Tamandua tetradactyla: one gene and its partner. The protein of the gene in region 1 binds, or shares a complex with, the protein of each later gene. Links are inferred from orthologs where the notes say so. Each region holds a gene or a part of one and is shown in the gene's direction. Other genes may lie near its edges.

What was found.
Region 2: the proteins of KATNB1 (region 1) and KATNA1 are in contact, whole or in part, in a crystal structure (PDB 5OW5), measured with the Mus musculus proteins. The link is inferred for Tamandua tetradactyla from reciprocal best matches to the Homo sapiens genes KATNB1 and KATNA1. Residues at the interface, in NP_083081.2 of Mus musculus: Leu485, Val486, Asp487, Glu488, Ala490, Met491, Gln493, Ile494, Arg495, Gly497, His498, Met501, Phe502, Val504, Leu505, Thr506, Arg508, His509, Leu512, Asp513, Val515, Arg516, Trp519, Thr521, Asp542, Leu543, Ile546, Gln549, Lys550, Leu553; in NP_035965.2 of Mus musculus: Leu5, Gln6, Ile8, Val9, Val12, Arg16, Ala19, Leu20, Leu21, Gly22, Tyr24, Tyr31, Tyr41, Leu50, Lys53, Trp54, Gln56, Val57, Glu60, Ile61, Val63, Glu64, Gln67, Val68, Asp70, Ile71, Thr74, Leu75, Ser77, Phe78.

The regions. Positions count from the first base shown.
Region 1 is NC_135342.1:51,444,441-51,460,407, forward strand, and holds the start of KATNB1 (katanin p80 WD40 repeat-containing subunit B1), read left to right. Parts: upstream 1-7,254; 5' UTR 7,255-7,525; intron 7,526-7,644; exon of another isoform or gene 7,645-7,678; intron 7,679-7,920; exon of another isoform or gene 7,921-8,108; intron 8,109-8,205; exon of another isoform or gene 8,206-8,228; intron 8,229-9,185; 5' UTR 9,186-9,444; coding exon 9,445-9,484; intron 9,485-13,664; coding exon 13,665-13,795; intron 13,796-15,967.
Region 2 is NC_135328.1:141,149,660-141,166,373, reverse strand, and holds the start of KATNA1 (katanin p60 ATPase-containing subunit A1), read left to right. Parts: upstream 1-8,056; 5' UTR 8,057-8,371; intron 8,372-8,375; exon of another isoform or gene 8,376-8,419; intron 8,420-8,482; exon of another isoform or gene 8,483-8,507; intron 8,508-9,534; exon of another isoform or gene 9,535-9,641; intron 9,642-16,714. UniProt on the Homo sapiens protein: Catalytic subunit of a complex which severs microtubules in an ATP-dependent manner. Microtubule severing may promote rapid reorganization of cellular microtubule arrays and the release of microtubules from the centrosome following nucleation.

The DNA.
Region 1 (15,967 bases):
TAGCTGCTTCTGGATGATGGGGAACATGATAAGACCAGAGAATTTCATGAGCATGTGCCCATTCCTGCACTTCATTTGCTGTTAAGTGTGGTCCCTGATCAGAAGCAAAGCTGTAAGGAATACTATGACGATGGATAAGGCATTCTGTAAGCTCACGGATGGTAGTTTTGGCAGAAGCATTGCGTGCAAGGAAAGTAAACCCATATCCAGAGTATGTGTCTATTCCAGTTAGAACGAATCATTGCCCCTTCCATGAAGGGAGCAATGTAATCAACCTGCCACCATGTAGCCGGCTGGTCACCTCGGGGAATGGTGCCATATCAGGGGCTGAGTGTGGTCTTTGCTGCTGTCAGATTGTACACTCAGTAGTGGCTGTAGCCAGCTCAGCCTTGGTGAACAAAAGTCCATGTTACTGAGCCCATGCATAACCTCCATCCCTACCACCATGACCACTTTGTTCATAAGCCCATTGGGCAATGACAGGAATTGCTGGGGAAAGAGGCTGACAGGTATCCACAGAACGGGTCATCATATCCACTTGATTATTAAATCTTCCTTTGCTGAAGTTACCCTCTAGTGCACATTCACATGGTACACAAATATCTTCATGTTTTTAGCCCACTCAGAAAGGTCTATCCACATACTTCTTCCCCAGACCTCTTTGTCACCAATTTTCCAATTATGGTCTTTCCAAGTCCCTGACCATCCAGCCAAACCATTAGCAACAGCCCATGAGTCAGAGAAATGCACCTCTGGCCAGTTTTCCTTCCAAGCAAAATGAACAACCAGGAGCACTGCTCGAAGTTCCGCCCAAAGGGAAGATTTTGCCTCACCACTGTCCTTCAAGAACACCACAGAAAGGGGGTAGAATGCTGCAGCTGTCCACTTTGGGTGGTACCTGTATATCATGCTGAACCATCTGTAAACCAGGCCCGAGTTTTCTCTTCCTCAGTCAATTCACTGTAAGGAACTCCCCAAGAGGCCATAGCTCTGGTCTGGGAAAGAGAAGATAATATGGCAGGAGTGGAGACCACGGGTGTTTGGGCCACTCCTTCGTGTAACTTACTTGTGCCTTCAAGACCTGCTCTGGCCCTATCTTGTATATACCATTTCCATTTTACAATAGAGTGCTCCTGCACACGCCATATGGCTTGGTGGGTCAGACAACACACAGCTCATGATAGGCAACTCAGGTATCGTAACTTGGTGGCCCATGGTTTTAGCATTCAGTCTCTACTAAGGCCCAATAGCAGGCCAAAAGCTGTTTCTCAAAAGGAGAGTAATTATCTGCAGCAGATGGTAAGGCTTTGCTCCAAAATCCTAAGGGTCTGCGTTGTGATTCCCCTATAGGGGCCTGCCAAAGGCTCCAGACAGCATCTCTATTTGCAACTGACACTTCCAGCACCATTGGATCTGCTGGATCATATGGTCCAAGTGGCAGAGCAGTTTGTACAACAGCTTGGAGCTGTTGCAGAGCCTCCTCTTGGTTCAGGTCCCCACTCAAAATTAGCAGCTTTTCTGGTCACTAGATAAATGGGCCAGAGTAGCACACCTAAATGAGGAATATGTTCTCTCCAAAATCCAAAGAGACCAACTAGGCATTGTGCCTCTTTTTTGATCGTAGGAGGGGTCAGATGCAGTGATTTATCCTTCACCTTAGAAGGGATATCTCGACATGCCCCACACCACTGGACATTTCCTCTTTTATAGGACTCCAGAAGCTTATCAAGACCCACTCCCAAGCTTATAAAAATCCATCTAACATTCCAAACTCTCTAAGCCTCTGGATCCCCTCATCTACGTTATACCAGGGCAGTCCTGGCACTTCAACCTCAGGTAATGTCAGCCACCTTTTGATCCAAGTTCAACCAACTATCCAAACAATTAATGCCTTTTCTAACCCCTTGTGCTGGTTTGAAAGGATGTATGTCCCTTAGAAAAGCCATGTTTTAATCTAAACCCCATTTCATAAAGGTAGAATAACCCCTATTCAATACTGTATGTTTGAAACTGTAATCAGATCATCTCCCTGGAGATGAGATTCAATCAAGAGTGTTTTTTAAACTGAATTAGCTGGAGGTATCTCTCCTCCATTTGGGTGGGTCTTGATAAGTTCCTGGAGTCCTATAAAAGAGGAAACATTTTGGAGAATGAGAGATTCAGAGAAGGCAAAGCAGAATAACATAGCCACAAGAAGCAGAGTCCACCAGCCAGTGACCTTTGGAGATGAAGAAGGAAAATGCCTCCCGGGGAGCTTCATGGAACAGGAAGCCAGAAGAAGCTAGCAGATGACACCATGTTCACCATGTGCCTTTCCAAACGAGAGAGACGCCCTGACTGTGTTCACCATGTGCCTTCTCACTTGAGAGAGAAACCCTGAACTTCATTGGCCTTCTTGAACCAAGTTATCTTTCCCTGCATGGATGCCTTTGATTGGACATTTCTATAGACTTGTTTTAACTGGGACATTTTCTCGGCCTTAGAACTATAAACTAGCAATTTATTAAATCCCCCCTTTTAAAAGCCATTTCATTTCTGGTATATTGCATTCCAGCAGCTAGCAACTTAGAACACCTAGAGATTTCACTGAGGTGGAAAGCCCCTGTATTTTTGTTGGATATATCTCCCATCCTCTGACATGCAAATGCCTTACCAATAAGTCTCAAGTAGTTGCTACTTCTTGCTCACTAGGTCCAATCAACGTGATATCATCAATATAATGGACCAGTGCGATGTCTTGTGGGAGGGAGAAATGATCAAGGTCCCTGTGGACAAGATTATGACATAGGGCTGGAGAGTTGATATACCCCTGAGGTAGGACAGTGAAAGTATATTGCTGACATTGACAGCTGAAAGCAAAGTGTTTCTGGTGGTCCTTACTAACAGCTATTGAGAAAAAAGCATTTGCCAGATCAGTAGCTGCATACTAGGTACCAGAGGATGTACTGATTTGCTCAAGCAATGATACCATATCGGGAACAGCAGCTGCAATTGGAGTTACCATCTGGTTGAGCTTACAATAATCCACTGTCATCCTCCAAGACCCATCTGTTTTTTGCACAGGCCAAATAGGAGAGTTGAATGGGGATGTGGTGAGAATCACCCCCCTGCATCCTTCAAATCCTTAAGAGTGGCAGTAATTTCTGCAATCCCTCCAGGAATCTGGTACTGCTTCTGATTTACTATTTTGTTAGGTAGGGGCAGTTATAGTGGCTTCCACTTGGCCCTTCCCACCACAATAACCCTCATTGCACGAGTTAGAGAGCCAATGTGGGGATTCTGCCAGTTGCTCAGAAGGTCTATTCCAATTATACATTCTGGAACTAGGGAAATAACTACAGAATGGGTCCGGGGGCCCACTGGACCCACTGTGAGATGGACTTGAGATAAAACTCCATCAATCACCTGGCCTCCATAAGCCCCCACTCTGACTGGTAGACCAGAGTGATGTTTTGGGTCCCCTGGAATTAATGTCACTTCTGAACCAGTGTTCTAACAATCCCCGAAATATCTGATCATTTCCTTTTCCCCAATGCACACCTACCCTGGTAAAAGGCCATCGGTCTCCTTGGGGAAGGTTTGGAGGAAGATTAACAGCATAAATTTGTGTCAGTGTAACAGGGTTCTCCCCCAAAGAAACCTGGCCTCCCCTTCATTCATGGGGCTCTGGGTCTGTAAACTGTCTCAAGTCTGGTAATTGCTTAAGGGGCTGTGACTCTGTGTTTTTGTAATTCAGGTTAGGCTTCTGTTCACTTGACCTAGAACTCTTTTATTTATACAGCTCAAACAAGAATTTAGTAGACTGACCATCTATTGCATTTCTAGGTACCCCATGATTTACTAGCCAATGGCACAGATCTATGTGAGTCAGATTATTTCGACTCCTGCTTTGAGTTTGCTGTCTATTATAATAGCCATGTCCACCTGTCTTTGGCGATTAAGTGCTGCCACCTGGCTTCTGCCAACTCGGGATCCAGTCATCCTCATTGTGTTTAAGGATTCCAGCTCAGTGACAGCAGTGTCCACAGTAATATCTGACCTACAGAGAAATGGTACTATTGAGCTCTTCAGAGATGATGGCACTAGTCTCACAAATTTATTTCTCACTGTTCTGGTAAAAGGTGCATCCTCCAGACATTTCTGGGGTGTACGAGCAGGCTTTGCATGATAAATTCACTCTAACATTCCAAACTGTCTAAGCCTCTGGATCCCCTCATCTACATTATACCAGGGCAGTCCTGGCACTTCAACCTCAGGTAATGTCAGCCACCTTTTGATCCATGTTCGACCAACTATCCAAACAAACTGTTAATGCCTTTTCTAACCCCTTGTGCTGGTTTGAAAGGATGTATGTCCCCTAGAAAAGCCATGTTTTAATCTAAATCCTATTCCATAAAGGCAGAATAATCCCTATACAGTACTGCATGTTTGACACTATAATCAGATGAAATGTGTTTTAATCAAGAGTGGTTGTTAAACTGGATTAGGTGATGACATGTCTCCACCCATCTGGGTGGGTCTTGATAAGCTTCTGGAGTCCTATAAAAGAGGAAACATTTTGGAGAATGAAAGAGATTCAGACAGCAGAGAATGCTGCAGCACCACGAAGCAGAGAGTCCACTAGCCAGCACTTTGGAGTTGAAGAAGGAAAATGTCTCCCAGGGAGCTTCACGAAACAGGAAGCCAGGAGAGAGAGCTAGCAGATGATGCCATGCTCACCATGTGCCCTTCCAGCTGAGAGAGAAACTGTTACTGTGTTCACCATGTGCCTTCTCACGTGAGAGAGAAACCTTGAACTTTATTGGCCTCCTTGAACCAATCTTTCCCTGAATGCCTTTGATTGGACATTTCTATAGACTTGTTTTAATCGGAACATTTTCTCAGCCTTAGAACTGTAAACTAGCAACTTATTAAATTCCCCTTTTAAGAAGGCATTCTATCCCTGGTATATTGCATTCCAGCAAACTAGAACACCCCTCTAGCTATAACACTGAAGGCAGAATCTCCACTTAGTGGGCCCATATCAATAAATTCAGCCTGATCCAGCCTTATATTCCTCCCACCATTATCCCACACCCTTAAAATCCATTGGACACATATTCCCCTGATTTCTGCCTATGCAAACTGGAAAACTTACACAGTTCTTTTGGAGTATAACGTACCTCCTCATGTGCGACACTTTGTACCTCACCTTTAGGGGCCTCTTGGGACTTTAGTCTAGTTACAGGTCTGGAAGAAATGAGGGTTGGTGAGGTGGGTCATGAAAAGAATTAGAAATATCTTCCAAGCCATTTGCTTCAGGGCATTCATTCGCCGTTTCATCTGATGAAACAGGATTAATCACTCTAGGGCTAATCCCTTCAGGTGGAGGCTGAGTGGCCAACTCCTCAAAACAAGCTGGAGGTGGGGCGGCCATGTCCTCAGGGAAGACTATTACAGGGTTATCTAGATAAGACTCAGCATAACCTAGGGTTTCTAACTCACCACTGACATGATTATCAATCCATATGTCGCCATCCCATTTTTCAGTGTCCCACTCCTTTCCAATCAATGCCCTCACTTTAATATCAGACACCATACAAGATTGAGATTTCAGTTTAGGTTGTAAAGCTGCTACTCTAACAATAAGATTCTGAGTCTGATTTTTAGAGATCTCAAGTCTACGCCTACAGGAAATAAGATTTTCCTTCAGGACACTCATAGAAACTTCTACATCTGTCAGATGGTGCTTAAGCTTCTCACTTGAAACCTTAAGCCCATCCCTTTCACTCCTTAATGTATCCAGTGTATCTAACAACAACTAGCCAACATCTCTATGCCTCCTATTTCTACAAAACTCCATAAAGGTGTCAAAATCATTATCCTCCAGAGCCTGGCTTTGTACAGCCGAAGCACCAGAAGAATCGTATGGTGATATTTTGACTATCTCTTTTGCCAATTCACTCCATGGATTGGCAGTGTCATTCTGATTATGGGACTCAGAGTTCTTAGTCCCTTTGAGTCCAGTCAGGGTAGAAAACCATTCATAAAAACCCATTTTTAAGGTTCTGTTTCTTAAGAACCATTCCTGGTACCAAGTTGTATTAGTTAGGGTTCTCTAGAGAAACAGAATCAACAGAAAATATTCGTAAATATAAAACTTATAAGTGTCTCACGTAACCGTGGGAACGTAGAGCCCAAAATCTGTAGGGAACGTAGAGTCCAAAATCTGACAATTCCGATGGAGGGTCTGGACAAACTCCACAAGAGAGGCTCACCAGCCAAAGCAGTAAGAAAGCCTGTCTCTTCTGAATCCTCCTTAAAAGGCTTCCAGTGATTAGATTAAGTATCACTCATGGCAGAAGACATTTCTCTTCGCTGATTACAAATGTAATCAACTGTGGATGCAGCTGATGTGGTCATGATTTAATTCTATGAAATGTCCTCACAGCAACAGACAGGCCAGCACTTGCCCAACCAGACAAACAGGTACCACCACTTGGCCACAAAGGCTAAAATATATTGGGTACATGGAAACACTAGTAGTCCCTGAGAGGGAAGGATAAGGAGCATGTAATGTATGAATTTTTTCCTCTTCCTGGAGTGATGCAAATCTTCTACAAAATGATCATGGTGATGAATATACTACTATGTAATGGTATTGTGAGCCACTGATTGTACATCATGTGTGGAACGTCTGTATAATTACGAATGTTTGTGTTGTATGTTGCTTATCAACAAAAAAAAATTTTTTAAAGGTTGAGGGGAAATGCAAGACAGACGGTTTTGATAGAACGTGATTCTGTTCATACAGTCCTCTTTTAATAGGAACCATTCTCGCTCCCAAGGTCTGAGTACAATGGGAGAGGTAGAACCAAAAATCTTTGGCAGAGACGGTGAAGTGCAATACGGTGGTTCAAACCCTGACGCCATTACATTTCGGTCAAGTGGCCTTTTATAAGGACCTTAACCTGGACCTGTTTGCCCATCTGAGAGTGCAAACAGGAATCCCTACTCCTTAGGGTTGTTGTGTGAGCGCAAACAGACCCTATCTGCAGCAACAGAAGGATTAACGCGGAGGTTCGAGGGTCTTAAGGCGCTGAGCCCCGGACGACTGGGCCACCCTCTCAACTCAGATGGGGCCAGCCACGCGACACAGGCTTGTGGGGCCAAGTTCCTCCTAAGCGCCCCGGATCCTTCTCGAACCCCGCCCCACCTAAGGAGTCACAAATGAAGTCGGCCTCTCTCGGATTCTAGTCTGTTGTCCTCTGAAGGGTGCAGCCACTTGCCCCTATCATCCCTTCCCCCGGCCCCGGCGGTGGCGGGGGCCGCACTTCGACCCTCCGCACCTGACTCGGACCCGGAATCAGACTCTGTCCCCATCCCGCTACCGGGGATTTATTCAAGCCGGAGTCCGGGTCAGAAAAGGGAAGGCAAAGCCCTCAGACTATGCAGATACCTCCTGAGGGCTCCAGGAAGAAACAGGCGCCAGGACAAAATGCTGACTAAGGCCAGGATCCCGTTTCGCCCCACTCCAAGATGGAAGGTCCGAGGCTTCACGCTACTCCCAAAGTCCCCTTCCCATTGGTTAGTTGGGAACTGGTTTTTCCAATAATGCGGACAATGATTGGTCAAACTATTTGGGTTTTGGCGCAGCCGCCATTGGAGGGCGTCTCGCAGAGCGTTCAAGGCAAATTAGGTTTGAAGCCGCGAAGGAAAGGGGGAGGGAAGAGAAAGCTTGCGGCGGAGGCGGGACCAAGGGAATGAGCTCCCACATTGGTTCATTAGAGGCAGAGGGGCGGCTCTTGAACGCTCCTTCCTCGTGATTAGTCCAATTCAGGGAAAGAAGGCGGGCATTTAGGAAAAGCGGCAGAAGCGCCTGCTTCGATTGGTCACACCTGCCGGGAGGTGGAGCGCGCGCGGCGGATGATTGGTGCAGGATGGGCGGAGGGCGGGGCTCTGGCCCGGAGGTTTTGTTGTGAGGGTCGGTTGTCAAGCAGCGGCCAATCAGGATAGGGGATGGAGGCAAGTGGGGGTCGCGCCTGGAGCAGTGCCTCATCTTCCCGAGCCGCAGCTGCAGGTGGAGTGAGCCAGCCGGCGAGCGGGCGAGGAGGCGAGGAGGCGAGGAGGCGAGGGGATGATGGGCCTGGGGCTGGGCCAAGCGAGGCGGGGCCGGGCCAGGCCGGACGGTGGCGGACGGGGGCCCGGGCGGTGGGAGGCTGGAGCCCATGCTCGGCAAGCTCAGAGGGGTAGGAGGATCAGGCGAGGCAGAGGGACCAGCCCCAGCCTAGGAAGTAGCGGGGCCGGCGTGCAGGCCGGAGGGAAAAGCCAGGGAGTCCGGAGGTAGAGCTGGGGTTCCGCAGGAAGATAGGTAATGAACGGGCACCAAAGAAGCAAGCGAGAGAATGAATGGGAAATGCTGATAGCAAAGGGGACAGAAAAATAAAGGAGCCCTGGCGAGGCAGGGGCCAAGTTAGGGGGCCCAGGAGACCACATGTACAGGAATGGGAGATACGGACAGCCGGGAAGGGAACGGAGGGCTAGGGAGGCGGTACTGGAGCCCCAGAAGCAAGCGGGTTGAGAGAGGCCTCGTGGGAAAGAGGTGAGGTGGCTGTGAGGGAGATGGTAGTAGGCCCCCAGACGTCCCCTTTTAAGAGTTGAGGAGTCTTTTTCAGGTTCAGTGCCTGGAGGTCTACCCCCACCCCGCGACCCCCAGCACTGTCCTTGGGAATTACAGGAAGTAGGCGTGATTCCCTTGCCATGAACTGGGAGGTTGGATCATCAGGGCTGTCTTCCAAGATCCTCCCTAGAAGGGGCCACAATGCCTGTCTCTGGGGTGCCTCTCATGGGCCCCTGCAAAGCTTAGCCTTGGACTCCACCCACTTTCCCAGACGTCAGGCAGAACCATGACTCCCAGAAATCTATCTAAACTGCAGGCATGTGGTCTTCCCTGCCCAGCTGAGGCTGCTACACTTCCGGCAGCCAGCATCCTAGAGCACAGCCACCTCCCATCATCCTGGCCTCGGGGAGGACCTTCTTTTTCCCCTGTGTTCCCAGTCACCCTGCCTGATGTGCAGATTCTCAAACCCAATTTGTGGTGCAGTTCCTGGCTCTAGTCGCTCTGCCCCTCTGCAATCCTGGGTTCACCCATACTGAGCTCCCACTGAGTGTTTCCTAACAAGCCACCTCCTCTGTTTGTATTCCAGCCCAGTGTTGAGCCAAGATGACTCAAGCCTGACATTCTGTGATCCAGGATCCAAACAAGTGCTCACAGGCTGCTGTTGTCATTGCTGTGTGTATGGCTTAAAACCACGAGGCATTGAGCCGGGAGCTGAGACATTCCCTCTGGATGTATGGGAATTCCCTGCCAACTTAATTCGCGGATCTGGGGGGGAGCTACCCCCACCCAATAAGAACAGCACGGTCTGTTTCACGGGTAGGGCTCCAGGTGCCAGGCACTGAAGGATGGCCACCCCTGTGGTCACCAAGACAGCCTGGAAGCTGCGTGAGTAGTTGTCTTTCTCCTTTCTCACCCCTTTGACCTTTATTGCCGGGTGGCTCAAACCTGCTGCATCATCTGCTCTTCTTGGCCCGGGGAAAGACCCTCAGGCCTTAGCATAAGTAGATCAGATGCAGATTGTGACTGGCTGATACTGGAAAAAGTGACTTAACCTTTTTGGGGCTCAGTTTCCTCACCTGTAAATGAGAGAATCAAACCTGCATTCTAGACTTGTTGTGAGGTTCAAGTGAGATAATAAGCATAAAGAACTAAGTGTGAGGACTAACCCTTAGAAGGTACTTCATTAGGATAGTTGCTTTTCTCAGGGACCCAAGGATTTCCAGTTAGGAAAAGTAGGAAGGGTTGAGAAATCCTGAACAATGTTCTTGGACATTTTTAGACATTTCCCAAGTCAAGGCAGCTTGGGGTGATTAGCCAAGAAGAGAATAGTGTGGTGGGCAGGGGGTTGCTGGCAGGGCTCTGGAATGTAACAGCCATGTCCACCCACCCCTAATATTCCGCTGTACCAGCAGTTCTCAAACTCCTTTATGCTCTTAAAAATTAATAAGGATCCCAAACAGCTTTTGTTTATGTGGGTTATATCTAGCAATGTTTACCATACTAGTGAGAAATTACCACTGAGGAATTGAAAATCACAATCACATGCCACTAGTGACAGAGACAACATTTATCATTTATCATGTGTGCTCTGGAAAACTTCACTGTGTAGGCTCATGAGGGAATGACAATACAAAAGGCAAATAACACCTTAGTAGTAGTATGAAAATAGTTTATCCTCATGAGCCTCTGAAAGGGGTTTGAGGACCCCAAAGGACCCACATCAGGCTTTGAGAGCTACTACTGTATACATTTGCACCTCTGTGGGCCCACCCATAATAACTGCCTAGCAGAGATTTGGAGTGCCCAACCTGACCACCCTCTCCAGGCCCAGCAAGCACTGGGTGATGCTGTGAGCTGTCTCTGGGCTGTTTTCAGGAGCATCACGTGAGCCCTGATATCCTTACAAAGCCTGAGAGCCTCCCCGTTATCTTACAGGGCAGGAAAGGAGAGTAGGACACAGGGAAAGGCTCTACCTTTTAACCACACACCTGAGCAAAGCTCTTTACTGGGCCTTAGTTTCCTCATTTGTAAAATGAGAGGTTTAGGTCATTTATAGATTGCTCCCCAAAGCTTAAGGATTTGGCGCAAATCTTGTTCTGGGCCTCGCAGGAGGGTACACTTTGGACAGATAGTTTTTTCACTTGTCAGGATTACGTATCTGACCCTTCAATCATCAGGGCTTCCCTAACACAGCCAGATACTGGGGAGCCAGTGGAAACAAGGCCTGTGTAGTGGGAGCCTGGAGCCTGGAGCATGGAGAGAGGGGCAGGGAGTCAAATAACCAGACACATCCATCTCATCTGATTCCAAGCTGGGACATGTGCTTTGAGTCAGTTAACAAGATGGACAAGTGGTGTCAGCTGCCTGAACAGTATGTGTAAAGGCCCTGAGGCAGGAAGCTCAGTGCCTTGGAAAGGCCAGAAGGAGTACAGCCATGGGGGTTGGGGGACATGGTGCCATATGAGGCTGGCGAGGTCTGCAAGGGCACACATCCACGGGGCCCAGCCTTTCTGAGGCTTTTGCTTTCTCTTAAAGCAAAGTCAAAGCATACATGTTTAAATATGGTCAAACATATTGGACATCTGCTGAAATTTTATTTGCATAGCAGTTTTCATGGGTATAAACTTTCTGAAGAGCCCAAGGGCAAATGACCTCTGACTCAGTGTCTCTGCGGTCTGCTAAGGATAAGAGAGTGCTTGGCCAGTGTGGGCTCATTGAAGCATTGAATTCAATTTGGATTGCAGGGCCTCATTATCTCTGGCCAAAACACAGTGCTCCTCAGCTGTGGCTGAGATGTGGGACCTAGACTATGTCACCTGGATTTGGGAAATGTGTGGGCCTATACCACTGTGTGAAGCAATGGCCGTCAACCTGGGCCACTAATAGACCCTGTGGGGATTTTATTTGTTTGTATTAAAATTCAGTGTGGGGCCTGGGCCACCGCTGGTTGCTGTTCTTCAGACCAGGCTAGTGTCCTGTGTTAGGGCCTCCTCTCCCTGGCATCTGTGGTGTGCCCGCAGGTCCTTCCATGGGCATCAAATCAGTCGCTGGTTAGGCTGCTTAGAGGGTAGTGGTCTGGGCCGTTTGAGAAAGACTCAACCTCCAAATTCTTCGTACCTTAAAATCTGTGGTTCTGTGAACTGGGTGCCCTGTCCCAGGAGCCATCTGATAACCTGTGTCATGAAAGCAGGGACCTTTGCTCTCTCATTCCCACTGTCTCCCAATGCTAGGCCCATAGGAGGCACCCAGGAATGTTTATATTATCAACTAATGGCTGTCTCCTGGGCAGTGGTCCTGTGGTCCAGAGAGGGGCAGCATTATGCCCAAGGAGGTCCAGCGAGAAAAAGTCCCAGGCAGGAATTTCCCTGGAAAGAGTGAGAGCCAGGGTGGACATACTCAGGCCTCTAGGTCAGTCATGGAGGAACGGTATTGTGTAGGTGAGTGGCTTCCGAGAAGGGGAAAGGCTTGAGGCGTGGTAGCAGGGAACTCAGTGAGAAGGCGGTTTGCCCTCTCTCTGAATTAGGTGGCCACTTTGGCCCTGCAGAAACTTTTAAGAAGACAAAAGGCTCTGTGGGTCACAGTAGAGACTGTACAAGGGAATCAGCTCCCTTGGACCAAATGGCAGGGTCTCTGAAACCTGGCTGACCTATGGCTGGGGCTTGGTGCTGCCCGTGGCCAGATCTGGGTTGCTAGGCCCTGAGGTGGGGTGTCATCTGTGATGTCAGATCTGGGGCCTGGTTCCCCAGGCATTTTCCATAGCCTCCAAGCCAGGCTGCCTAGCAAGCAGCTGTCCCAGGTCGAGTTTCTCAACCTCCTTGCAGTCTGAAGCAGGGGGTAGTACGGAGCTGGGATGCCAGAAAGGCCCTGGGAGGAACAGCTGCCACACCTTCCCCTCACTGTTACACCAGCCAGCCTCCCAGCTACCCCTGGGTGTCAGCACATTGGGGCTTTCCCCTATGTGGAGAGACCTGATTTGTCTTCCTTGTTCCCAGTAAAAATTCCCTCTGGGGATGGGTGGGCCACGGTGGCTCAGCAGGCAAGAATGCTTGCCTGCCATGCTAGAGGACCCGGGTTCGATTCTCGGTGCCTGCCCATGTGAAAAAAAAAAAAAGAAGATTCCCTCTGGGCCTGGCTGGCCCGCCTTGCCCATGCCTTGTTCCCTTCAGAGCCTTGGTGAGGTCCTGAGATTTCAGGCTGTCCCCCCTTTCCCCAGGCCATGCCAGGGCCCCTTGTGGTTTCCCCCAAGGCCTCATCTTCTGCTCGGCCTGGTCAGTTCTCACCCTCAGACCTCTTTGTCTGTTGCCTCCTGCCCTCCTGCTCATGCAGCCTAACCCCCTGTGCCTGCCAGGGGCCCAGTGCCTATTAGCCCTCTTGGTGACAAGTCCTCAGCTTGTCTGTGACTATGGAGTACCTTCTCTTGTGCACATTCTTAGTGAATCCACAGCAATCTGGGGAGATAGGCACTGTTACTGTCCCCATTTAACAGAGGAGGACACTGGCACACACAGGATGAGTGATTCATCCAAGCTCACACGAGCATCAAGTGTGAACTTGCCTGGTCACAGCTTGTCTACCACTGAGTTGAATGATGCTTAAAGTCTCTTTCCCAGAGCAAGATTCAAAAGCCAATGAATGGCATCTGAGAGGCTTAGGTCAGTATTTTTTAATGTTTTTTTTTTCAGCTTTCTTTTTGTGTGGTAGAAAAAGTATAATGAACACATCAAACTTGTAACTTCACAGATACTGTTACTTAAGACAAAGCTAAGCAAAAATAGCAAGTCAATTAAAAAATTAGTAAGTCACTAATATTATAGTTGATGGACACAAAAAGGAAAAAAGCATGAGGTCTAAGTTATGTCAGGAAGGACTGAAGTTAAGAAACAGAAATTTCCAACTTAGGCCCAAGATCTGCCCTGTCAGCGCGTCCCCCAGCAACTGAGGAGGGGTTGAATGGGATGAAGAGGGGCAGGTACCTCCTGCTGGCGGAACCCAGCAAGGTGCTGCCACTCCTCTGCATGGTCCCCCGAGGCCCCTGACTGTGCCCCCCTCTCCCTTTGGTATGCAGAGGAGATCGTCGCCCATGCCAGCAATGTGTCTTCACTGGTGCTGGGCAAAGCCTCCGGGCGGCTGCTGGCTACAGGCGGGGATGATTGCCGGGTCAACCTGTGGTCCATCAACAAGCCCAACTGCATCATGGTGAGCCTCAGCTGGTGGGGTGTGGGGCAGGAAGTTCGGGGACCAGGGCTGGGGAGCAGGTGGCTTTGCAGGCTCTGTTACGCCCAGGATGTCCCAACCCTGGGCCCAGCCAGGAATTAGGGAGGACATAGCACAGCATCAGTGCCTCAGTCAGCTGTCTGCTCAAGGAGGACAACCCAGGATGGCTAGGAATGGGGAGTCACCCAGAAGTGGGACAGAACCCCAGGAAATCTGCCTGAGAAGGTTAGGATAAGCCCACAGTCCATAGTGGAGGAGCCACAAGAGTGAAGCCCTCCCCTGCTCCCCTGCCCACCTGTCCCCATCAGCTGTACATGGGCATTTAGACTATCGATGCATTTCCTCACCTCATTTCACAAAAAGGATTTGAGGGACTGGTTAAAGAGCTCATTCTTTGATAGCATCTCCTCCTTCATTTCACAAGTAAGATGTATTCAGTGCCACAAAACAAACCTGGAAAACAGAAAAGCATAATGGAAGCAAAACAAAAATTCATTGCATATAGTTCCATTATCTAAAGACCACCAGAGTTGGTGTTTTGGTGTGCATTCTTCTGGATGCTGATGCCTGTCTACTCACCTGTGCATGCAACTTATATCCACGCACACACAGGTAAATATATAAAAGTATATCCCCAGAACACTCTCTTACATTCTCGTGGCCTCATTTGTTTTTAAATAATGCTATGAACATTTTCTTGTGTCAACAAATACTCTGTTCCAATGTGATGTTTAATGGCTTTGTGGTATCCCATTGTCGGGATGAGCCCTAACTGGCTTAGCCACGCCCTGCTGTCACGTGGAAATTGTTTCCAGTTTTTTGGTTCTGCTGGACCATATTTGCTAACAACGTCCTCTACCTACATCTCTAAGCAGATCTATGATCATTGGCCTTAAATCTGAGGGTGTGTACTTTTCCAAAGGCTTTCAAAACATCGCCAAATCGCCCTCCAGAAATGAATTTACATTTTCACCCCCACCCCGAGGATGTGTTCACACTTGACCTAATAAAGGTCATGATAAAGAAAGTGGGTAGTGATAATGGATTTTTTTCTTCCATGGCAAGCCTATGAAGCTGCTGCTTCAGTAGGTGATCCTGGCCCCAATTGCAAGGAAATATTCAAAAGTCTAGTCCCACCCTTAGAACATTCTCAGTGGGTGTTAGCCATCCTCAGTGTTGTCAGCCCAGTAGCCGGACTTCCCCAGTGACCACTGGACAGAAGTAGAACCTGGATTCACCACAGAGGCAGCTCTCACGTGAAGGTGATGTTTCTGAGCAGAAATTCAATCACCTGTGTTTTAGGGGAAGGCTGTGGTCTGACCCAAACCACATTCTGGGTTCAGCAAGAACAGAATTGAAATTTTTTGTTTCACTTTGCTTTTCAGGATTATATGTTCTTTCTCTTTTTTTTCCCCCCCCGAAATGCTTAAGTAACATAAACATCTTGAAAAAAAATCAATACAGACCCATGTTCTCATTCCCCGGAGGAAGCCCAGGCAATAGGTTGGTGTCTGGCCTTCCAGACTTACCTTTTAACACCAGGTGTGGCTCCTATGCCCCAAGGGGCTGGTTCCCAGACCCCCTTTGCACCACCCCCTGCACTCCCTTTCCCTCCCCTCTATTTCCTCTACCTTGACCTCATTTTGGGCCTCTCTCCCCCCAACTCACTGCAGTGCAGCCACCCAGGCCTTGCAGTTCCTCAGATCTACCAGCCTTCCCTCACCTTGGGGTTTCTGCATACTGTTCTCTCTGCAAACAGCCCACCTGTCTTTATTTTTGTTTATTTTTAAATATATAATATACATTTTATTTTTAAATATATAATATATTTATAGTTCAACATCCAAAAGATACAAGGTAAACAGTGAAAAGTCTTCCTCTGCCCTGATCCCTGGAAGCTGCCACACTTCCCAACTCTTCCTGTAACTTTCCAGAATTATTTTATGCTGTGCAAGCAAATTTACATGTCTGCCCTACTCTTGTTTTTCACCTATATAGCTTCATACTAAATATACCATTCTCCATCTTTTTTTCACCTAAAAGTATCATGAAGATTGGTCTTTACCATATTTTAAAAGTTGCCTCTTTTTTTTTTTTTTTCATGGCCTGGTGGTATTCATTGCATGGGTGACTATGGGTGGCCACAGTTTATCC
Region 2 (16,714 bases), on another chromosome or scaffold:
TAGTTTACAGTTCTAAAACTGAGAAAATGTCCCAATTAAAGCAAATCTATAGAAATGTCCAATGAAAGGCATCCAGGGAAAGATACCTTGGTTCAAGAAGGCCGATGAAGTTCAGGGTTTCTCTCTCAAGTGAGACGACAGATGGCAAACACGGTCAGGGTTTCTCTCTCAGCTAGAAGGACACATGGTGAACAGGCATCATCTGCTAGCTTCCTCTCCTGGCTTCCTGTTCATGAAGCTCCTTGAGAGGCATTTTCCTTCTGCATCTCCAAAGCACTGGCTGGTGGACTCTGCACTTCGTGGTGCTGCAGCATTCTCTGCTCTCTCTGAATGTCCTTGCTTTCTCTCTTGCCATTCTCTTTTACAGGATTACAGTAAAATAATCAAGACCCACCCAAATGGGTGGAGACATGTTTCCACCTAATCCAGTTTAAGAACCACTCTTGATTGAGTCACATCTCCAGGGAGATGACCTAATTACAGTTTCAAACATACAGACATACAGTACTGAATAGGGATTAGAAGAAATGGCTGCCTTTACAAAATGGGATTAGCTTTAAAACATGGGTTTCTAGGGTACATACATCCTTTCAAACCAGCACATTCCACTTATTATTTATTTTTAATCAATGTGTTTTATTAAGCTGTTGATAAGGTAGATAAAAGGAGTATCAGACACAAGGTGTTCACAATCACACTGTCTCTTTGTGAAAGCTTTATCATTATACAATCTTCTTCAAGAAACATGGCTACTAAACACAGGTCTACATTTTCAGGAAGTTCCTTATAGCCTCTTCATTACGCCTTAACTGAAAAGGTGATATCTATTTAATGCATAAGAATAACCTCCAGGATAACCTCTCAACTCTGTTTGGAATCTCTTAGCCATTGACACTTTATTTAGTCTCATTTCACTCTTCCCCCTTTTAGTTGAGAAGGTTTTCTTAATCCCTTGATATTGAGTCCCAGCTCATTCTAGGATTTCTGTTCCACGTTTCCAGGAAGGTCGACACCCCAGGAGTCAAGTCTCACATAGAGAGGGGGAGGGCAGTAAGCTTGCTTGTCATGTTGGCTGAGAGAGAGAGAGGCCATATCTGTGCAACAAAAGAGGTTCTATGGGGATGACTCTTAGGCCTGATTTTAAGTAGGCTTAGCCTATCCTTTGCAGGGTTAAGTTTTATATGAACAAACCCCAAGAGTGAGGGCTCAGCCTATTGCTTTGGTTGTCCCCACTGCTTGTGAGAATATCAAGAATTCTCCACTTGGGAGACTTGCGGGTCAAGATGGCGGCTTAACAACGTGCGCATTTTAGCTCGTCCTCCAGAACAACTACTAAATAACCAGAAACAGTACAGAACAACTCCTGGAGCCACGATAGTGACCGGACACACAGTGTACCCCAGTCTGGACCAGTTGGACTGGCTGCGAGCACCCCCCAGAACCGTGAGTTCCCAAAGCTGCGGCGGCCAGCACCCCTCCCCCACAGGCCACTTCCCAGAGGGGAAAGTAAAGGACTTTACCAGCAGCAGGGACTGGGCACAATCAAATGCCAATTGTGGAACTAATTAACAAATTCTGAATATTAAAGTTTAAAAATCCCTTACCTATTACAAGCTCCTGACATTATTAACATTTATGTTTTCTTCTAAAAGTTTTATAGTTTAGTCCATACGTTTAGGTCATTGATCAGTTTTTGCTGTTGTTTAAGTGAATCCACTGAAACTTTATATATAATTTCCAGTTTATTAGAAATATAGGAGATAAATAAGCATGATAAATGATAGAGCAGGGAAACAAATCCAGAAAATAGGATATTGAGGACAACAACATGGTCTCTTTAACAAGTCAGTGTTATGAAAACAAACACTAACAGCAAATAAACAACCACCACCAACAATAACAAAAGAGACTCAACAGCCAGAACTATGTTGAATCCTGGAATAGATATTGGTTTTGGCAAACCAGCTGTGAAGGACATTGATGAGTCTATTAGATAAATTTGTGATTATTAAATCAGAGGAAATGCAACTTGACTGAAAAAACAGATTGTAGAATAGTATGTACAGTAATGGCCTCATTTTTACAAAATATAAAAGTATACATGCGGTGGAGACATAGGGCCCAGGCTCCCTCCACCCCCAATCCCCTATCCAGACTGATAAGTTACTACACATTACCTACAATGACCAGAACAGAATATGTACATTTGTAAACTAATAACTGCCCATTGTAAAAGCCAACCCATTTCTAGTATACTACATTCAGGCAGCTTGAGCAAACAAATAGCATATCTTTTTCAAGTGCAATAAAAGTTACCCCAAATACAAATTTTCATGCTTTAGTTGATAGGTAAACTAATCAATGGCCTTGACATAACTTAAGTAATCTCAGCAGTGCTAAGACCTTCAGGCTAAAAATGGCTAAAACCCTTAAAAATTCCGTCTGTAATAGCAAAAAATCTTCCAACTATTCCCTTTCGCCAAACTGTATCAATTTTTGGAGGGGTGGGGGGACTTACAAGGTATTTTCATGTAACTCCCTTATAACCTAGGCAGGAAAACAAATACTTCAAAGTAATTGGAAGTCAAACTGCTCTCAGTTATCAAAACAATGAAATGACAAAACAAAACAGAAGCTCTAGGGTAATCCTTTGTTCATCCTAAGAGTGGGCCTGTATATTTAGGGCAGGTATGTATGAATATCACTGATTAAAAAATTTTAACTCATATTTGGCTTGTTCATATTTGTTCACTTGAATACTATATTTTATTTATTTATTTTTTGAATAATTTATTTTAAATTATAATCCAAGGTTCTTTTTTAACTTTTTCTTATTGTGGGATTTAACATATATACAAAAAAGCAATGAATTTCCAAATACATTTTTTTCTTTTTATTTTATTTTTTTAAATACCAAAAAAACATCAAACATTCCTTTTTTGATCATTCTGTTCTACATATATAATCAGTAATTCACAGTATCATCACATAGTTGCATATTCATCATCATGATCCAAATATATTTTAACAAGTAGTTATAGAACAGAGTTTAAAGTTTAGCATGGGTTACAGTTCCACAATTCTTTGTTTTTTCTTCTAGTTGCTCCAAGTCACTGAAAACCAAAATAAATATCAATGTAATGATTCAGTAGTCATACTCATTTGTTAAATCCTATTTGTGTTATACTCCTCCTAGTCTTTTTGTGAAAAATTACACATGCAAAAATGCAATTAGTTGTAGAACAGATTTCAGAGTTTTGTATGGACTACAACTCCACAATTTTAGGTTTTGACTTCTAGCTGCTCTAAGGTACTAGAGAATAAAAGAATTATCAGCAGTCCTATTCATTTGTTAAGCCCTAACTTCTCTGTATAACTCTACCACCACCTTTGATCTTTCTTTCACTCTTTAGGGACATTTGGCCTATGTCCATTCTAACTTTTTCATGTTGGAAGGGGCTATCATGATATGGAATAGGGGGATGGAACTAGTTGATGTTCTGGAGAGGCTGGTCCCTGCATTTTGGGACTTACTTGGTCCAGAGACCATCTGGATACTTCCCTTTTTTTTTTTTTTTCTAGGCTTTTGTTTTAATTTCCTAGGCTGCTCAAGAAAATACCATGAAATGGCTGGGTTTAAACAATAGGAAATTATTCACTCACAGTTTGAGGCTGGGAAAAAGTCCAAATCAAGGCATCATTGAGATGATGTTTTCTTTCTGAAGACTGTGGCATTCTAGGGCTGGCTGCTGGTGATCTTTGATCCTGTGTCACATGACAAGGGGCATGTTGGCCTCTCCTGGACTCTTTGTTCTTTTGGGGGTTCTGTTTAATTTTAACTTCTTGCTTATATAGATTTCTCTCAGACTGAATTTCACTCCACTTATAAAGGACTCTAGTAATAAGACTATTATTTAAGACCCATCCTATTGGGTTAGGACACACTCTGAAGTAATGTCATCATTAATCCACAGGAATGAATTAAATTTTAAGAACGTGCTTTCTTGGGCACCTGCAATTTCAAACACCATAGCTTTTTATATGGAGTTGTGCTGGTTTGAAAATGCACCCCCAAAAGGCCATGTCCTTTAATCCTGATTCAATATTATAGGGTGGAAATCTTTGATTAGATTGTTTCCATGGAAATTGACCCACTCATTTGTGGTATGACCTTTTGATTAGATTACTCCCTGGAGATATGACATGCCCAATTGTAAGTGTGGTCTTTTGATTCAAGGTGAGGTCTTGATTAGTTTACTGGAGTCCTTTAAAAGGGAAGACATTTTGGAGAAAACACCATTGTTTCAGAGCTGACAGAGATGCAGACATTTGGAAGATGTTGACAGAGAGAGGTGCCTAGACATAGATGTCTGGAGATGCAGAGCTCAGCAGACATTGCTATGAACCCAGAGTTGTGACCTGGAGGAACTAAATAAAGGCCCATAGACACTTAGAGAAGAAAGCACTGGAATCAGAATCTGGAAGCAAAGGAACTGGGAACAAGGACCACAGTCACCAGCCACATGCCTTTCCACATGGCAGACATCATCTTTCCTTGAGTCAAGGTATCTTTTTCTGGACACCTTAGTTTGGACATTTAATGCCCTTAAAACTGCAAATTTGTAACCTAATAAATGCCATTTTTAAAAGCCATTCCATTTCTGGTATATTGCATTCTGGCAACATTAACAAACTAAAAACGGGTACATGCAATTTCAACTACCACAGCTTTTTATAGTTTTGATTGTTACATTTAGGTCTTTGATCCAGTTTTAGTTGATTTTTGTATATAGGGTAAGGTTAGGGGTCCAGCTTCATTCTTTTGAATACGGATTTCCAGGTTTCCCAGTACCATCAGATGAAGAGACTATTCTTTCCCAGTTAAGCAGGCTTAGCACCCTTGTTAAAAATCAGTTGGCCATAGATGTGAATGTTTATTTCTGAACTCTCAATTTGATTCCATTGGTCTATTTGTACCATGCTCTTGTGATTACTGTTAACTGTGTAATAAGTTTTAAAACTAGGAAGTGTGAATCTTCCAACCAATAAGGGTGGTACACAAATATTGTTTTCCCTTCACAACACACTGTAGAGTTGAACATCCCTATCCCTCTGAATTTAAGCTTGGCCACATGACTTTCTCTGGTCAATGAAATGTGAGCAGAGTGGCTTGTGTCACATCCAAGCAGAAGCTCTACAATTATCTAATTCTCTGTTTTCCACTACCACAGGTCCCAATGCCTACATCCCATCTTTTGTTGACATTTAGAATGAATGAGAAAAAAAAAATCCTGTTTTTTGAAATCTTCAATTTAGGGGTTGCTACAGCAGAGCCTTGCCTTCCCTGAGCAGTACAACTAATGAAGAAAAGGAAGTACTGAATGTAAGGCACTCTGTGGAGAAGGTTTTTTTTTTAACCTCAAAAACCAATAATGAGGTATAATTTACATAAAATAGTTTATATGTACTGTGTAGATGAGGTTTTTTAAACTTTTTTATTGTATAATATATATACAAAACAAAGAAAGAAAAAAGCAATAGTTTTCAAAGCACTCTTTAATAAATAGTTACAGGACAGATCCCAGAGTTTGTCATGAGCTACCATACCATCATCTCAGATTTTTCCTTCTAGCTATTCCAGAACATTGGCTAGAAGAAATATATATTTTTTTATTATCACTTTTTTCTTTCTCTTTTGTAAAAATAACATACATACAAAAAAGCAATAAATGTCAAAGCACAGCACAAGAATTAATTATAGAACAGATTTCAGAGTCTGGTATGGGTTACAATTCCACAATTTTAGGTTTTTACTTCTAGCTGCTCTAAGATAATGGAGACTAAAAGAAATATAATGATTCAGCAATCATACTCCTTTATTAAACCCTACCTTCTCTGTGTAACTCCCCCATCACCTTTGATCTTTCTCCCACTTTTTAAGGATATTTGGCCTATGCTCATTCTAATTTTTTCACATTGGAAGGCTTGTCAATAATAAGGGGTAGGGAGATAGAATTAGCTGATGTTCTGGAAAGGCTGGCCTCTGTAGGTTTCAGGACTTATCTGCTCCAGGGACCCATTTGGACGTTGTAGGTTTTCAGAAAGTTATCCTAGGGCATGGAATTTTTGTAGAATCTTATATATTACCCTAGGTGTTCTTTAGGATTGGCTGGAATGGTTTTGGTTGGGGGTTGGCAAGTCATGATAGGTAGCAATGTCTAACTGAAATTTGCATAAGAGCAGCCTCTTGACAATTTTAACACTCTCAGCCATTGATACTTTGTTACACTTCTTTTCCCCCTTTTGGTCAGGATGGCATTGTTGATCCCATGGTGCCAGGGCAAGGCTCATCCCTGTGGGTCATCTCCCATGCTGCCAGGAAGATTTTCACCCATGAATGTCATGTCCCACATAGGGAGGAGGGCAATGATTTCACTTGCAGAGTTGGGCTTAGAAAGACTGAGGCCACATCTGAGCAACAAAAGAGGTCCTCCAGAAGTAACTCTTGGGCATGCCTATACATAGTCAAAGCTTCTTCACTACCTACATAAGCTTCAGAAGAGTAAGCCTGAAGATCAAGAGCTTGGCCTATTGATTTTAGTATCCCTAATCTTTGACACAGTATCAGGGATTTCCTCAGTAGTAAAGTTTAATAGTTTCATATTTTTTCCCATCCCTCAAGGGACTTCACCAATACTTTCTGATTATCTGCTTAATATATTCTGGGACATATCCAGGTATCACATTAAGCTATACCGGATTAAAGGACCTCATTTTATTCTGGGCTCCCTGTGTTTTGATTATTTAAATGAACTATCTAGACTGGGTTGAGTTAGATTATGTGCTACATAAAATTTAGGTTCTGGACAAAAACTTCTCTCCCTTTGGTCTCAAAGAGTAGGTGAAGTTCTAAAATATAGACAATAAATTTTAATAAATACTAATGGTTGTGTAGCCACTACCTTAATCAAGGCATCTCAGAGGCTTCCTCATGCCTCTTTTCAGTCAATCTTTACCGCCCACTCCAACTTCTCAATTCAACCCCAGGCACAACTACTCATTTACTTTCCGTTAGTACAGTGTTGGTTGTTCTATCATTTTATATAAATGGAATCATACTATATGTATCCATTCTTTACCGTTAGAGAAATTTTGAGATTATAAATTGGCATTATAAATTAGCCTACCTCTGCATTCATATAAAAAGTGAAGGTTGAATCCAGCCTAATTAGGGTAATTAATCTATACCTCCCTGAATTTTTTTTATTATAAAGACATACTAGATATAGTTTCCTGTGCTTTAGTATAATAGCCTTCATACCCAGCATAACAAAACTATTATTTTCTACTTATCTGAGAATTTTTCAAGACTTTAGCCCCCAGGAATTTTTCCTTTTTTTTTTTTTTTTTTTTTAACAGCGTAACCAGTGCCTAATATGTCTGGCATAGTATTGGTTCAGTAAATATTTGCGGAATAAATGGATGCATTTCCTGTGAATTGCTTCTATACAAATCTATATTAAATTACTGCAATCCTTTAATAGAAACTTAAGCACCATGTACTCCTAAAGGGTAAGTGCCCTATTCGTTTAAGATAGGGATGGTGTGTGGAATTTGAAGCTGAAGGAAGGCAGCAGCATTGCCGAGTACACGGTGTCTCTAAATCCTATTGTGTTGTTGTAAAACCATTACATAAGGACAAGCAAGGAAGAAAATTAAAATTCTGAAACAGGCTGTGCGAAGGTCTATGTTGGCACCCCTGTAGCCCCTGCAACAAGGGCCCTAGCCCGGGAATCCTGAGAACTGGCTCTAAAGCATGACTTCTCATAAACCCTCGTTCGCTCAGGACAGGCTTCTATCCCTAAAGCACTTACCCTTTAGGACTACTGCCCAGCGCTCCGCCTCCGAGCCGGGTCTCGGGCTTCCAGCTTCAGCCTGGAGGAAGAGGTACGAGATTGCGCAGACGCACCTCACCATCTCGCCCCTGCCGGTCCCGCCCAACCGCCGGCCGTCTAGTCCCGCGCAGTCTGCGTCCTACGCAAGCGCGCGTACGTCTACTGGCCCATCCCTCTCTTCACGGTTCTCGCGCTTCACCGGCGCGCACACGTCTCCAGGTGCCTCTGTTCCCAAGGCGTTGCTTCGCGTGCGTTGGAGTCGTCACCGCTGCCATCGGGGCCGGAAGTGACCGTGGCGTGTTCGCCGTCAATTTCTCGGCGTGCTCCAGTAGCGGTTGGGGGTGGCGGCAGTTGGAGTGGGCAGTGCGGGTTCCAGCGCGGGCGGTGGGGCCGGGTGCCTCCTTCGTCGACGGGAGCCCGGTTGGACCTGCCCCGACGGTTGGCGGTGGGCGGTGTAGTTCGGAGCCGCCTTACAGGTGAGTGCCGGGTCTCCGGACAGTCCTGAGGGCAGGCCGGGAGCGGAGGTGGGTACCGCCGCGCACTCTGTCGTCAACTGCGGCGCCCGCGCAGGGGCGCGGGTACTCGCTTTTGTTGCCGACACCTGTAGCTCAGGTGAGGCTCCTGTCTAAGGAATCTCGTCCATCCAGGACGAGATCCAGGGCGCTTTCGGGAATTCCTGCGGCTCCCACCTGTGGACCTGTGTCTGTAGAGGCGTCCCTGGCCGAGAGAACCTGTCATTATTCCCTCATTGTTTTGATTGGTCCTCGCTCGTATCCGTTCCCTTGAAAGTCTTGACACTGGAATTCAGCGTCCGTTCTTACATTTTGTGATATCTGTGCAATATTGTTGAGGGTGTTATTTAGTTCGTTCTAGAGCCGGTCTTCCTCAGGGAGGCTAATGACTTTTTGTTTAGAGTTGGGTACCTTTTACAAAACTTACACATCAAAATACTGTTTCATTCAGCATATTATATGGTGACGAAGTTAGGGATAAACATGGATCTTTATGTGCGTTCTAATGGATAATCTTAAACTCTATTTAATAAAAAAAATAGCTCCCTTATTTAACTGCGAAGTGCCACTTTTATAAATTACTAATTTCTTACAGCACCGTGATACACCCTTCTTATTGAAGAACTGTTTTATGTTTTCCTCTTTGAAATCAGTCTCTTAGTTACTCTTGAAACATTCTTGAAGAATGTGGGCCATGGACCTTTTCCACGCAGTCACGATGATAGAACGCTATGGAGTCAAGAAAGTTTCTCGTAGTGTTCATACTGCCCTAAATGTGTCAGAACGCAGTTCTGTTTCATTTTCCAGTGGATGTGGTTTTTGTAATCAGTGAGTCCGTACACAAAGAAATAGCGACAGAACTCTTTGTCTTGTATTAACAGTGCTATTTTGTGACACATACCGTGCCTTTAAAAAAAAAGACAGTGCCTATCTACTTTTCAGTATTCCTAGATTATGAAAAGCTATGTTAAACTTCTTTGTGGGGTTGGTTATTCAAGAAGCTTTTACAATTACAGAGTCAATACTAAGGCATTCTATGTAAGATAACGTCAAAGTCTGCATCTTTCTTTGAAAATTTTTTTCTATTCTGACATACTGAGGATTAGAGAATTTTTTTTCTTTATTTCAAAAATATGGAATGCTTCAGGAATTTGCGTGTCATCCTTGCTCAGGGGCCATGCTAATCTTCTCTGAATGGTTCCAATTTTAGTATATGTGCTGCCGAATCGAGGATTAGAGAATGTTGACTTGCTTTTTACAACAGTGTGTGCATTTATTGTTTTGTTTTGTTTTGTTTTAGCTTCTCAGCTGTTTAAAAAAAATAGCCTGTGAAACCAAAATGATCAGAGTTGATAAGGTGTTAAATAGATTTTGCTTGTGGCACTTATTGTTGTGACTTTTTTTTTTTTTTTTTTTTTTTTTTTTTTTTTAAAGGAAAGACAGAGAGAAGGAAGGAAGGATAGAAGGAAGGAAGGAAGGAAGAAAGGGAAACATTTTTAAACATTTTCTTGTTTTATTGTATTCTGTTTCTCCGTTTTTTGTTACATGGGCTGGGGCCGGGAATCGAACCGAGGTCCTCCGGCATAGCAGGCAAGCACTTTGCCCGCTGAGCCACCGCGGCCCGCCCTGTTGTGACTTTTAAATTACATTTTAAATTCTCCACTCATTGATTTATTTTTATTTTGTTCAAGGTAAACTGGAAATTATCAGTTGTCCTTCTTTTGCAGGAAAATTTATCAAATACATACATAGTAGACTTAATATGTAATTTTGTTTTCTGACCAGGTTTCCTTTTGATGCTTTTTTAGTAGTAATAATTTGCTCATGCTTGAGTAATTTATCATTTGATATAAAGGTAAGAAAAATGTGTGACGTTACAATGGGTCATGAGCCATTCATTTATTGTGCTTATTTAGTCATTAGATTGAATTTACATTACCTTATGGTTGCTTTCATATCCCAGAGATGAACATTCTGAAAATTTCTCACCAGCGAATTGCCTCTTTTAAAATTACACACTTGGTTTACTGAACCAAGTGCCTTCCCGAAGTGCCTTCGGGAAGATGCAAGATTGAGTTTAATGATATGTTTTTGTTTCAGGAAAACAGGTTTAAATATTTTAAAAACATTTCAAGCTTCCAACATTGATGTTATCTCTTCAGCCTGTGTTTAGTAATGTTCTCCTTTTTACTAAGCAAAAAAAAAGAACACCTAGAGTAAATAATCTCCCTTCCACTAACCTTCAAGATTTCAAGGTTTAATTCTTTCTTATTTATTTTTGTCTTAAGTGCAATTTCTTGCAACTCAGTTGGTGCTCCTTAAATATTTCTTGAATGAATGACGTATACACATTATGATAAAAACTGGTGGATAAGTGGAACTTGGCCTAAGATTCCATAGAAAATTAAGTGGGTATATTATCCTTTTTGGATATGAAATAGGGGAGGGCCTTACATTTGTTGTTTTAAGAGAGAATGTGAATCTTAGAACTTGAGTAGTTTGATCTGTTCTGTGTTCTTTTTCAGTCTCTTTAATCACTTATTCCCAGTCCTAGAGGAGAAAAAAGCATTTTAAGTCTCATTTTGGAGACCCACATGACATCACATATCACATTTGTTAGAAATTTTGCTGTAAAATTGAGTCCTTAGTACTTAATTATAGAAATTTGACTGCTACCTTAATTAAAATTGTTTTGCATCTTGTTTAGTTTAAATGAAAGTAGTAATTAGCTAAATCATAAATCCTCAAGGTATATAAGCAAAAAGGGTGGTTCTTATTGAATATGGTAAAGAACAGCTTGCTGTATGATAAAGTGGGCATAGTGTGTGGGTTTTTTCTCCCTAATTTTTGTAATCACTAATCTAAATTTTTGGAAATACAATTTTTTATGTGTACTATTAATGTTGAACCAATAGCTAATGTTTACAGTTCATGGTGGTTAAAATTTGGTTTATCAACTTTTCTTTAAACATGTTCATTTCTTCATATATTGGGAGGTATTGTGCTCGTTAGGCCCATTTTTGTCCTGTGGTGTAATTTTATGGATGTAAGGACATATTCTTATTCATAGGAGAATTGCATAAATTTACAGTGTTGATATTCATTTGAGAAGGATGTCTTGGGGTAGAGGCTACTAAAGGAATACGGAAAATTATTTTTGGCTAACATTTGGGAACTAAGGGTGCTTTGTGATTATTTTCAGGAGACACATTGTTACTTTTACAACCAGTAATTTTTCAGGTCAGTTGATTATATGGCCTTGGATTGACTTTACATTTTCATTTGTTAGAAAATGTCAATTGTCTAAGGATTTATCCAGCAAGAAAGAGAAATTCATAACATAGAACCTTTGAAGAAAACTTGAAGTGCCTTTGGGGCCATTGATCTGTGGCTTTCAAACAAAAAACCTGAGAACCATCTGTTTATCACAATTTAATTAAGTGGATTTTTTGTTTTTAAACGTGGGGAAAGGAGAGAAGTATATGGAGAGAGTCTCTTAAGCAAAGAGGAAGAGGGAGAAAAGACTTGAGAGGCCTAATATCCAAGCCCATCCAGATCAGCATCTGGCCCCATTTATATGCTTCGAATACTGTTTCTGAAACTAGGTGTCACTGTAGGGCATGATGACTTCAGGGCAGAACTAATTATGCAGGAGTGAAGCCATAATCCAGCTTTTTGGGAGATGAGTTGAGGATCAAGGAATGTGAGAATGCTGAGAGGAAATGGAGAAAGGTAAGAAGTCTTAGTTTAAGACAAAAACTTAAAAAGTATTTATTCACTCACAAATTTATTGAGTATCTGCTGTATGCGCAGCATGATTCTATGCCAAGCTGGGCTAGAACAGTGAATAATAGAAAGACATGGTCCCTGACCATGAAGTTTTTATTCTAATGGAGTATTTGTCATTGTCCAGGACTCCAGGGAGGCACTATGTAGCCTATGGGAATTTTTTCTTTTTGTTTTGGACCTCAGATGCCAGACTTGAGTTATTATGGAACTCAGTTAATATTATTGCTACTTACCAATTAGACCCAAATTTCATGGCTTAAACAACAAATATTTATTATCTCATAGTTTGTTGGGTCAGGAATCTGGGCAAGACTTGCTGGGTGTCTCTGACTCAGGGTCTCCCACAAGGCTGTAAGCAAGTGCTGTAGTTGTCTCAAGGCTCAACTGGGGAGGATCTGCTTCCAAGCTCACTCACATGGTTGTTGATAGGATTCAGTTCCTCATGGGCTTTTGGAGTGAATACCTCAGTTTCTCACTGGTTATTGGCCTGAGGCCTCCCTCAGTTCTGTGCCATGTGAGTCTTTGTGCAGAACAGCTCGCAACATGTTAGTTGGTCTTAGAGCATGCCAGCCAGAGAGGGTGAGCACAAATTAATCTTAGAAATGACAATTCATTATTTTTCATGTTTCAAATGTTAGATGCCCACATTCAAGATAAAAACCAGAAGTCGAGGCTCATTGAAAGACATCCTAGAAGCTCCTTGTCATTATCTATGGATATAAGGCCCTTCTCCTGTATTTTTTTTTTGTCACCATCCCTCCCAGTTTGCTTTCTTCACTCACTTTCCCCCATAGACACTCATATATTTAATATATGTTGTTGGGTACATAGCATCCTTAAAAAAGGAGTGTTTTATATAGCATATTCATTTTTAATTTATAAAATGATACTGAGATTTAGATCTTGTTCTAATATTTTTTACATCCAATCCTTTATTTTGATAATCTCTCCATGTTGCTATTTGTAAATTGTTCATTCCTTCCGTCCGCTACGTTGTATTCAATAGTATGCATCTACCATATTTTCTTGTCTATTCCCCTAGCAGGGAATATAGTTAAATTGCCTCCAACTCCTTGATTTTTCTAATAGTTTTGTCATTAGCATCCAAATATAAATTCCTTTATTAATCTGTGTGAGACTTTAGAATATTGACAGAAGAGTAGGATTGCTGAGTCATAGAGTATATGCATAATTTCCCTAAATACTGACAAATTGCACTCTTAACATGACTCTAACAGTTTGTACTCACAGATTCTATGTGAGGGTTTCCTTTTCTGCTCAGAACTTGACAATACTTATCATTAGACTTTTTTTTTTTAACCTGGTAAATGTAAAAAAGGGATCTCACTGCTTTGATTTAGATTAATAAATTCCCAGTGTCTATACTTGTTAGCTATTTGGGTTTTCCTTTCTTTGTGAATTGCACTTTATGCTTTACCTTTTTTTGTGTAAAAGTCCTGTTGTCCATTAGTGTGAGGAGTTACAAGGATGGGTTTTCTTATATTAATTCACCCTTGCATTCCTGAGATAAACTTGTCTTGATTTCGGTGTGTGTATATGTTTTTTCTCTTTGTCTGTGTTTGCATGTGGTTTTTCTTTTGATCCAGAAATTGAACCTGGGTCTCCGGCATGGCAGGTGAAAATTCTGCCACAGAGCCACTGTTGCACGGCCCATTTCCATATGTTTTTTTTTTTTTTATTAATTAACGGAAAAAAAGAAATTAACCCAACATTTAGAAATCATACCATTCTACATATGCAATCAGTAATTCTTAACATCATCACATAGCTGTATGATCATCGTTTCTTAGTACATTTGCATCGGTTTAGAAGAATTAGCAACACAACAGAAAAAGATATAGAATGTTAATATAGAGAAAAAAATAAAAGTAATAATAATAGTAAAAAAAAAAAACCTATAGCTCAGATGCAGCTTCATTCAGTGTTTTAACATGATTACTTTACAATTAGGTATTATTGTGCTGTCCATTTTTGAGTTTTTGTATCTAGTCCTGTTGCACAGTCTGTATCCCTTCAGCTCCAATTACCCATTATCTTACCCTGTTTCTAACTCCTGCTGGACTCTGTTACCAATGACATATTCCAAGTTTATTCTCGAATGTCGGTTCAGATCAGTGGCACCATACAGTATTTGTCCTTTAGTTTTTGGCTAGACTCACTCAGCATAATGTTCTCTAGGTCCATCCATGTTATTACATGCTTCATAAGTTTATCCTGTCTTAAAGCTGCATAATATTCCATCGTATGTATATACCACAGTTTGTTTAGCCACTCTTCTGTTGATGGACATTTTGGCTGTTTCCATCTCTTTGCAATTGTAAATAATGCTGCTATAAACATTGGTGTGCAAATGTCCGTTTGTGTCTTTGCCCTTAAGTCCTTTGAGTAGATACCGAGCAACGGTATTGCTGGGTCATATGGCAATTCTGTATTCAGCTTTTTGAGGAACCGCCACACTGCCTTCCACAGTGGCTGCACCATTTGACATTCCCACCAACAGTGGATAAGTGTGCCTCTTTCTCCGCATCCTCTCCAGCACTTGTCATTTTCTGTTTTGTTGATAATGGCCATTCTGGTGGGTGTGAGATGATATCTCATTGTGGTTTTGATTTGCATTGCTCTAATGGCCAGGGACATTGAGCATCTCTTCATGTGCCTTTTGGCCATCCGTATTTCCTCTTCTGGTAGGTGTCTGTTCAAGTCTATTTCCCATTTTGTAATTGGGTTGGCTGTCTTTTTGTTGTTGAGTTGAACAATCTCTTTATAAATTCTAGATACTAGACCTTTATCTGATATGCCATTTCCAAATATTGTCTCCCATTGTGTAGGTTGTCTTTCTACTTTCTTGATGAAGTTCTTTGATGCACAAAAGTGTTTAATTTTGAGGAGCTCCCATTTATTTATTTCCTTCTTCAGTGCTCTTGCTTTAGGATTAAGGTCCATAAAACCGCCTGCAATTGTAAGTTTCATAAGCTATCTCCCAACATTTTCCTCTAACTGTTTTATGGTCTTAGACCTAATGTTTAGATCTTTGATCCATTTTGAGTTAACTTTTGTATAGGGTGTGAGATATGGGTCTTCTTTCATTCTTTTGCATATGGATATCCAGTTCTCTAGGCGCCATTTAGAAGAGACTGTTCTGTTCCAGGTGAGTTGGCTTGACTGCCTTATCAAAGATCAAATGTCCATAGATGAGAGGGTCTATATCTGAGCACTCTATTCGATTCCATTGGTCGATATATCTATCTTTATGCCAATACCATGCTGTTTTGACCACTGTGGCTTCATAATATGCCTTAAAGTCCGGCAGCGCGAGACCTCCAGCTTCGTTTTTTTTCCTCAAGATGTTTTTAGCAATTCGGGGCACCCTGCCCTTCCAGATAAATTTGCTTATTGGTTTTTCTATTTCTGAAAAATAAGTTTGATTGGTATTGCATTGAATCTGTAAATCAATTTAGGTAGGATTGACATCTTAACTATATTTAGTCTTCCAATCCATGAACACAGTATGCCCTTCCATCTGTTTAGGTCTTCTGTGATTTCTTTTAACAGTTTCTTGTAGTTTTCTTTATATAGGTTTTTTGTCTCTTTAGTTAAATTTATTCCTAGGTATTTTATTCTTTTAGTTGCAATTGTAAATGGGATTCGTTTCTTGATTTCCCCCTCAGCTTGTTCATTACTAGTGTATAGAAATGCTACAGATTTTTGAATGTTGATCTTGTAACCTGCCACTTTGCTGTACTCATTTATTAGCTCTAGTAGTTTTGTTGTGGATTTTTCCGGGTTTTCGACGTATAGTATCATATCGTCTGCAAACAGTGATAGTTTTACTTCTTCCTTTCCAATTTTGATGCCTTGTATTTCTTTTTCTTGTCTAATTGCTCTGGCTTGAACCTCCAACACAGTGTTGAATAATAGTGGTGATAGTGGGCATCCGTGTCTTGTTCCTGATCTTAGGGGGAAAGTTTTCAATTTTTCCCCATTGAGGGTGATATTAGCTGTGGGTTTTTCATATATTCCCTCTATCATTTTAAGGAAGTTCCCTTGTAGTCCTATCTTTTGAAGTGTTTTCAACAGGAAAGGATGTTGAATCTTGTCAAATGCCTTCTCTGCATCAATTGAGATGATCATGTGATTTTTCTGCTTTGATTTGTTGATATGGTGTATTACATTAAATGATTTTCTTATGTTGAACCATCCTTGCATACCTGGGATGAATCCTACTTGGTCATGATGTATAATTCTTTTAATGTGTTGTTGGATACGATTTGCTAGAATTTTATTGAGGATTTTTGCATCTATATTCATTAGAGAGATTGGTCTGTAGTTTTCTTTTTTTGTAATGTCTTTGCCTGGTTTTGGTATGAGGGTGATGTTGGCTTCATAGAATGAATTAGGTAGTTTTCCCTCCACTTCGATTTTTTTGAAGAGTTTGAGGAGAGTTGGTACTAATTCTTTCTGGAATGTTTGATAGAATTCACATGTAAAGCCGTCTGG